Styela clava: one gene and its partner. The protein of the gene in region 1 interacts with the protein of each later gene in a biochemical or structural test. Links are inferred from orthologs where the notes say so. Each region holds a gene or a part of one and is shown in the gene's direction. Other genes may lie near its edges.

Evidence for each region.
Region 2: the proteins of DNA topoisomerase I, mitochondrial-like (region 1) and serine/arginine-rich splicing factor 1B-like form a complex in vitro, tested with the Homo sapiens proteins (2 studies listed by BioGRID, with this or other methods). The link is inferred for Styela clava from reciprocal best matches to the Homo sapiens genes TOP1 and SRSF1.

Annotation. Positions count from the first base shown.
Region 1 is NC_135263.1:8,555,101-8,559,030, reverse strand, and holds the start of DNA topoisomerase I, mitochondrial-like, read left to right. Parts: upstream 1-904; 5' UTR 905-1,112; intron 1,113-1,286; 5' UTR 1,287-1,296; coding exon 1,297-1,380; intron 1,381-1,756; coding exon 1,757-1,884; intron 1,885-2,189; coding exon 2,190-2,235; intron 2,236-2,371; coding exon 2,372-2,424; intron 2,425-2,502; coding exon 2,503-2,578; intron 2,579-2,794; coding exon 2,795-2,851; intron 2,852-3,021; coding exon 3,022-3,190; intron 3,191-3,315; coding exon 3,316-3,437; intron 3,438-3,702; coding exon 3,703-3,825; intron 3,826-3,930. Other genes in the region: N(6)-adenosine-methyltransferase catalytic subunit METTL3-like, read right to left, coding at 48-141. UniProt on the Homo sapiens protein: Releases the supercoiling and torsional tension of DNA introduced during the DNA replication and transcription by transiently cleaving and rejoining one strand of the DNA duplex.
Region 2 is NC_135257.1:13,136,399-13,140,328, forward strand, and holds serine/arginine-rich splicing factor 1B-like, read left to right. Parts: upstream 1-1,228; 5' UTR 1,229-1,371; coding exon 1,372-1,529; intron 1,530-1,760; coding exon 1,761-1,969; intron 1,970-2,064; coding exon 2,065-2,237; intron 2,238-2,307; coding exon 2,308-2,559; 3' UTR 2,560-3,329; downstream 3,330-3,930. UniProt on the Homo sapiens protein: Plays a role in preventing exon skipping, ensuring the accuracy of splicing and regulating alternative splicing.

The DNA of each region.
Region 1 (3,930 bases):
TAGTAATCACTCAAAAATATCCATCAAGTCTTGGAAGGAAAACACACCTTTATGGCCCTGTCTTCTTCTTTGTATTCTTTCCCTTAAACTTTCCTGTTTCATTTTCAGCTTTTGTAAATTTGTCCAAGTATCAGAAGACATTGTTCTTGATGAGAGAGAAGATCCACAATGTTATTAAAATAGCCAGAAGGTTTATGCTAGTGGATAAGAACAACTAAATAATTCAAAAGATATAGTTTGAGGCAGTGTATAGGACAATTGCACCACTAGCAAGCAAGTTCAAAACATATGAAATTATTGTGTATGGACATCTTTGAATATATGCTTTATATTCTTCATAATATTACTGGGAATTGTGGTGACAGCACTCTGTACTTGAGGTCTGATATTCCATGGTATAAGTGGGGAAAATCTATGGGATTTTAATAATTCTAACTAACTGTGAAATGCATAAGTGGTTAAATGTCGTCAATGCGTAAAAAGGAAGGTTCGTAACAGAAAAAATCGAATGTGTTTGGGTTTATTGCATATGTAAATTGGCGATGAAACAATGCGGTTTGGTTGCAACGTGAAATGACTTTGATTTCCCTGCATGTACATATGACCACACGCAGCAACATTGAAATTTATCTCAGAATGTTAGTACGGTGATTCGTGTTCACTGCGTGAATCGACAAATCGCGTTCATAAAACTACAAGCGCACTCACGCCAACTCAGCGCACATCTGAACGAAAACATAGGTTTAAACTCAGACAAAAGACTCTAACTTTTTTCTCGCGACACCCGTTTGCGTAACACAGGCAAAGAAAAAGGTAAAGAAGCTAAGTCTGTGCGCATGCGCAGACGGAAATTGTCGGACTTGTTCTTTTTTTTGAACGCCATTACTGTCTTCTGGTTTGCCTTGTGTGGTTCTTCGTTTGTCTGCTTTGTTGGTTACGACTCCACTGCCTTGAAGTGTATAACTACGAATTTGGTTTCATTACTCATTGGAGTCGTCATTCAGTTTTTGAATCAAGGGCAACGACCAAGAAAAAAACTTTGCGAAGTCATTTTCTATTGATTCTACAGACAAGACAGACGCTGATCGTCTACTATTCACTGTTAATATTAGGTAAGTTATTCGAAAATAGCCCTACTGTCAGTACCCGTACTTTATTAGCAAGGCTGTGAAATAGCATATGTTATTTCTATATTTTTAAATGTTTTGTTACTTTTTAATGGGTTTATGACTGCATTAGCAATGACTGAATGATCTTTCAATTATAAAATTTAAAATCCTTTTTAGTTTGCTTTCCATGGAACTCGCACACTCCTCAACAACACTGAATGGTTCATCACCACAGAAATTACATTCGCCTCACAAGCATAAGCATCACAAGGTTGAATTTATTTTTGATATATTGTTCTCTAAATTTTGTTTGTTTTTAATAATTAATATAATTCTTTAATGGGACTGGAAGATATTTAAGGTAGGGTATGTAATAGAAGAGTTTTGAAATATATGAAATTGATTTGAAGTGACAAGCTCAGATTTAATGATATCTTTCAATTCATGAATACCTACTTCAATATTCTATAAAATGAGTAAACCCAAAATAAATAAAATATGCAGCGAAATCAAATGAAATCCAAATCAATTGGAATATTTTATGGCTGTGATATATCACTGCATGCCTTATTAGATAATTGTATTAAGAAATAATCTAGACAAGTTGTCCATGCACCTTATTAATAATAGTCATTTATTTTGTTCAGGATAAAGATCGTAAGCACAAATATGTACTTGATTCAAATGGAAAACCAAAAATTGGTCCTGATGGGAAAAGAATAAGAATTAAAAGGGAGCACCGACCAGAACACCATACTGCCAATCATGCTGGAGAGTAAGATCTTTTAAATTGAGTTTCTTGCTGATGCTTTGTATTAATTGAATCCAGTAAATTATATCACTCATTGCATTATTAGTTGAATTATCTGCAATCAATTCTATCTCGTGAAAGTAATCTTATCTTGGTCCATGATCGTCATATAAATTTTTAGTGTTTTCTTCCCTGTTTATACTTTTCTTTTTTCATAGAGTTGAATTTGGTTTTGATATTTGCCAATAAAGGGGTTGGCACTTTCCTACCCTGCCCTCAATCATATCTTGACTTGCAATTATTTAACTCAGATTTTGTTTTCTTTTCAGTCAAGGTGTTATGCAAGTTAAAACAGAAAGAATGGATTCTGGAGAGGTTAGTAATAGGGGCGGGCAACCAAAATTTTATTTGGAAAACACTAAATTGTATTTGGCATTTTATTTTTCCAATTTTTGTATTAAATTGCAATTTATTTATATCATACCGTAACAACTTTGGAATTCATTTTTAGCCTCATCAGAATTCAGGGGTTACTAATCATGGAGATAATGAAGAAATCAGGAGGTATGTGTTGAAAATTCATTAACCAGAATGATATATGTCCAGATACATCAAATATAATTTTCATGTCAACAATTATAGAATGAAGAAGAAGTTGAAAAAGGAAAAACATGCCAAGAAACGAAAAGCTGAAGAAAATGATGTGAAGCCAAATATTGTAAGTCAGGAAATGGTCATTCGATATAGCCTTAGTCTGTTTTACGCTTAACATTACCGAAATCTCAGTTTATTTTATTGCCCGGCTCCTTCAGTATTGTAACATTGTACAACGTTGGAAGAATTGATGAGAAGTATTTGGTTTAGTATTGATTTGATATTGATTATTGATATATTTTAAAATAAATGTTATGTCATAATGAATTTTCTATTTTAGAAAAAAGTTAAAACGAAGGCCGAACCTTCCTCTACATTGTCTAGTCCGACAAAAAAGGTGAGTGTTCAATTGTAGACTAAAAGCAACGTCTTTATATGGTCCAGAATGTTAGGTTCATTTTTCTATGGCTCTCTCATATTGGGGGAAATGCATTATGGCATACATGTGTATAAAAAAGGTAATGTCAAGGATTGGTACAATATTTAAATTCTGTTAATTTCTTCAAGAAAACAAAGAAAATGAAAGAAGAGGAGGAAGCAGCTTCAAAGTGGAAGTGGTGGGAAGAAAAGAAGGATACTGATGATGGAATTAAATGGAAAACTCTTGAACACAAAGGACCAATGTTTGCCCCTGAATATGAACCTCTGCCAAGTTCTGTTCCTTTCAAATATGGCGGTAAGAAAGTTTGGAAGCAACAACTCTGCAGCAAATCATAGCCATTATCACATATATTTTATTTTTAACCTCAGTTTGTGCCAATACAATAAGCAATACTTGATGTTTCATCAATGCTTTTGTAGGGAAAGTGATGCATCTCGAACCAGAAACAGAAGAGGTAATGACGTTCTATGCTAAAATGTTGGACCACGATTATACTTCGAAAGAAATCTTCAATAAAAATTTTTTTCATGACTGGCGCAAGGTTTGTATTGAATACTTTTAAGATAGATGGATAGATCAAATTTAGATTAGGAATTCATGCTTCTATCAGCTTTTCAAAGTTTTATAATTTAGTGAATTTGAGATAGTCAACTTTACTTTGATAATTCTCTCTTGTTTGGGTAATTTACACCTGACTATGTATTATTGAATTGATGACTTTTGGTGAATTAGATAATGGAGATTGACAGATGACTTTTGGTGAATTAGATAATGGAGATTGACAATTGCATTTTATTTTTTTCAAGGTTATGACCAGCAAGGAAAAGGAGATTATAACAGATCTAGGTAAATGTGATTTTCGGGCCACAAATGAATATTTTAAAATGAAGTCGGAAGAAAGAAAAGCGAGGTCAAAGCAAGAAAAGCAGGTTAGTTGTCTAATTTTGTTTATATAATCGGACCTCCAGGAGTATGCGCGCCAAGATGGCGCAATACCTGAACATAGTATGTGTTTACCGGCTAGGATTCAGGTT
Region 2 (3,930 bases), on another chromosome or scaffold:
GTATCGCTTGAGCAGAAGGTAGAGATTTGCCACTTGATTAGATCATACAATGTCATAAAATTTCAGGTACAAATACTACGGGAGTCACTTGGCTAGTCCCGAACTCGTAATATAACTAAAATAAGGAAAATCGGAATAAAATTATGGACTAACCCTAACCTGGTGCTATACTATCCGCCACATCTTGGTTCACATACTTTTGAAGTACCCAATTTTGAACAATTAAAAAGCCTTAATTTTTAAAAAGATAAAAAAAAATAACGATATATGGTTATACATATTGATCTGCTCAACAACGAATCTAATAATTATTATATTTTATTTTTATATCTCTTTTATCATTAACTTTTTTATCACCCATTTCAAAAATTTTGATGATGTCATAATATATTTTATATATCTTTGAAAGCCCGAATATGACTTCATAATGCATCCAACGGTGTTTTATGACGTCATTGTTAAAATTGGGCCTTACAACTGGTATAGCCTTAGAATCCGGCCACCACAGTTCATAGCCATGGGCGTTCTATGAGCCAATCCTTGTTTTCGGAACAATGACTTTACAGCAACAAACCACTTTACAGTAAAAGGTTTACGGCGACCTAATAAATAATATTTAACCAGTCGCTCATATCAAACATGTTATGCAATAACTCTTTTTACGTTCTATTCTCACTCAAGCATATTTTTAACGTCCTAAATATTGACTTGTTTTAGTGTATTTTTGGATTTTTTGCTGGTGTTTTTCTTCTCCCAAAATTCAAATAGGATATTTCATATTTTTCCCCGAGACAAAAGAACCACGAAATGATTTAATATGAAATGACAAATTCGTAAATTATTTGCATGTATGTGTGATTCGATTGCATTTTGAAATACGCCACTCGCCGTGTGCTTGATATGTGGATGGCGAGCAAATTAATCTCCTCATTTTGCTGTATTCATCCGCATATATTTCACTTGCCAGATTTTCTTATGGTATACAACAACAAGTGTGACGATGCTTGACCAAATATTATATTTGATAGTGCCAAAATAGGTAAAAAATACATACATAAGGCACAATCTGTATTAGTTTATTTTTATCCAAACAAAAACGGAATTGCGTTCAAATACGCTGACCAGCAACCGAAAAGTACCACGTTGTAAACTGACAACAGCACACGAAAGGCGGAAATGACGTTTGCCCTGCGGCCATTAAGAAGAACACAAGTTTCTTTCTTTGTGAGGCAGTGGTGCGAAATCACTTTGAGTTTCTGCATCGTCTTCTTGTTCACCTATGTTGTCTTTAAAGTATATCTCCTTTTTTGTAACAAATAATTGGTCTGCAGGTTTATACTTGGAATAAAATTGATTAAACATAAAGAAAATATGAGCCGAGATAGCAGAGTGTATGTAGGAAATCTTCCTCCTGATGTCAGAGAAAAGGATGTTGAAGACCTTTTTCACAAATATGGAGATATAAAATTTGTTGAATTGAAAAACAGGAAAGGGCCACCATTTGCATTTGTCGAATTTAATGATTCCAGGTACGGTACCATATGGCTGTATGTATAGTCTACTACCGTACCAGAATACTGATTTATGAACTTTTTTTTATTATTTTAACTATGCTTTCATACTGCAGTACTGTATTATAATCATGCTGTATTAGCTTTTTGAAGTATTTAATTTTGCAAAATCGGTCAGTTTTACTACTTTGCTAGTATAGTAGTATGCATACAATCAAGTCGATAATATTTCATGAATTTATTTACCAGGGATGCAGAAGATGCAATCAGAGGGAGGAACGGATATGATTATGATGGTTATCGACTTAGAGTTGAATACCCTAGAGGCAGTGGGCCGCCAATGCGTGGTGGCGGTCACTTTATGGGTGGTGGTGGCGGCGGTGGTGGAAGATATGAACCTGGTAGAGGCAGAGGAGGACCTCCATCCAAAAGGACAAACCACAGAGTTATGATCTCAGGTATATATTCGTTGCTTTGTACCTTTTATCACATAAACAAGAAGTTTTTCATTTGTAGAGAATCCAGTCTTATTCAGGTTTATGTTTATATTCAGGTTTGCCGCCTACTGGAAGTTGGCAAGACATAAAAGATCATATGAGAGAAGCTGGTGATGTTTGTTATGCAGATGTATTCAGGGATGGAACTGGAATTGTTGAATTTGTCAACAGAGAAGATGTGAAGTTTGCTGTCAAACATTTGGATGATACCAAATTCAAGTCTCACGAAGTAATTAGATCACAAATATATTTATTAAAGTCTCTCAAGCATATTTTACTAATGGTGTTTTTGTTTTTAGGGAGAAGTTGCATACATCAGGGTCAAAGTTGACTCTTCAGCTGGTGGTGGTGGTGGTTCTAGATCACGCTCAAGATCCCGATCTCGGTCCAACAGTCGAGGTCGTAGAAGCTTTGGAGCTCGTGGGGGTGGTGGTGGAGGAGGACGGTCTTCCCCTTCTTACAGCCCTCGCCGTCGATCTTATTCTCGCTCACCAAAACGACGTCGTTCTGCGTCTTACTCTCCTCGTCGTTCTCGATCAAGATCTCGATGATTTTAAATCAAGTTTTTATTTTTGTATATCAGTACAAACTGCCCAGTTAAAGTTTGATAGCATGTAAAAACATGCTGCGCATTTTATGAAAATGCAAAGCAAATTGTGTATACAAAATAATTCTCGTACCAAGCTGAATAACATTTTTTTGTTAATTTGTCTAGAACTTGGATCATCCATTACTGGAGATCATCTTGTCTAAAGAATATAGGATATCGTGAAATGGAATCACATGTCTTCAATTGGACTAGGATACTGAAATCCCTGGATTTTGGAATTTGAATATGATTGTAGCATTGGGAGGCCCGGAAGGAATTTATTTTATTTGATGTTTGTGGTTCCCTATCCAATCATTCTTATTAATTCTATTTTTGTTTGAAATTGACAGATCTTTGGATCCTTTTTGCGAATGGGGATTTGCCGCTAGTTGGATAGGATACCATTTCTTTGGATGGATTAGGATCCACGTTTGAAATTATGGAATCTGGAGAAAAAGGATTCTTTAAACTGTGCGCATAGGATTTGGATTTCTTAACGTATTAGGAATGAAAACATTTTTCGAAATTTAAGTATTGAAGGCTTCGTTTTGGAAATAGCATCATTGTTTCGGAATTTGGAGCTTCTGTGGAAAATGCTGGAATTTATTATCAGGAGTAGGTATTTGGTCGCTTTGAAACTAGTGCTAATCCCTAAGCGGTAATTTTAAAGTTATGGATTTAAAAAGTAGTGTTTTTATTTGTGAGATTTCTAATAAACCAACTGAGGCTGCAGTTTGAGACTTTTGAATTAGGATTGTTGCTGTGTACCTGGAACAATTGAGCCATGTCTTGAGTCTTAAATCTTGCTATCTTATCTTGAAATGTGGTAGTCTTCCTCTATTTGAACCTTTCTGGCATTTATGTGGAAATCACGATGAGCGCGCTGAGTACTGGGATACAGTCAGTGTTTGTAATATGTTTTTGTATGCGATTTATCGTTCAATCTCGCTCCAAGCAGATTTGTGGTAAGTATACTGAACTGAGTTGTATTTTATGTATAAAACCGGACAAGAAGAGTAGGATTGCAAAGCAGTTGTGGAAATTACTAGAGTTTCCTAACGTACAATCCCTTGGAAAAGTTGAAATTGACTTTTGTTTCTCAAAATTGCCATTACACAATCATAGAAAAAGTGGCTTGTGGTTTTTTTCAGCATAAAATTTCCAAATTCACCTAAGCAAGTTCGAATTTATACAATCTATGGTTTAGTCATAGAAGATCGCAACATAGGTGCAAAAGTCTGATTTGCGCAGTTGTTTCTCATCGGGTATATATATTTTGTCAAGTCTAACTTCGGGACGAATTCACTTACTTTTCCTGATTCAAATGTCACAT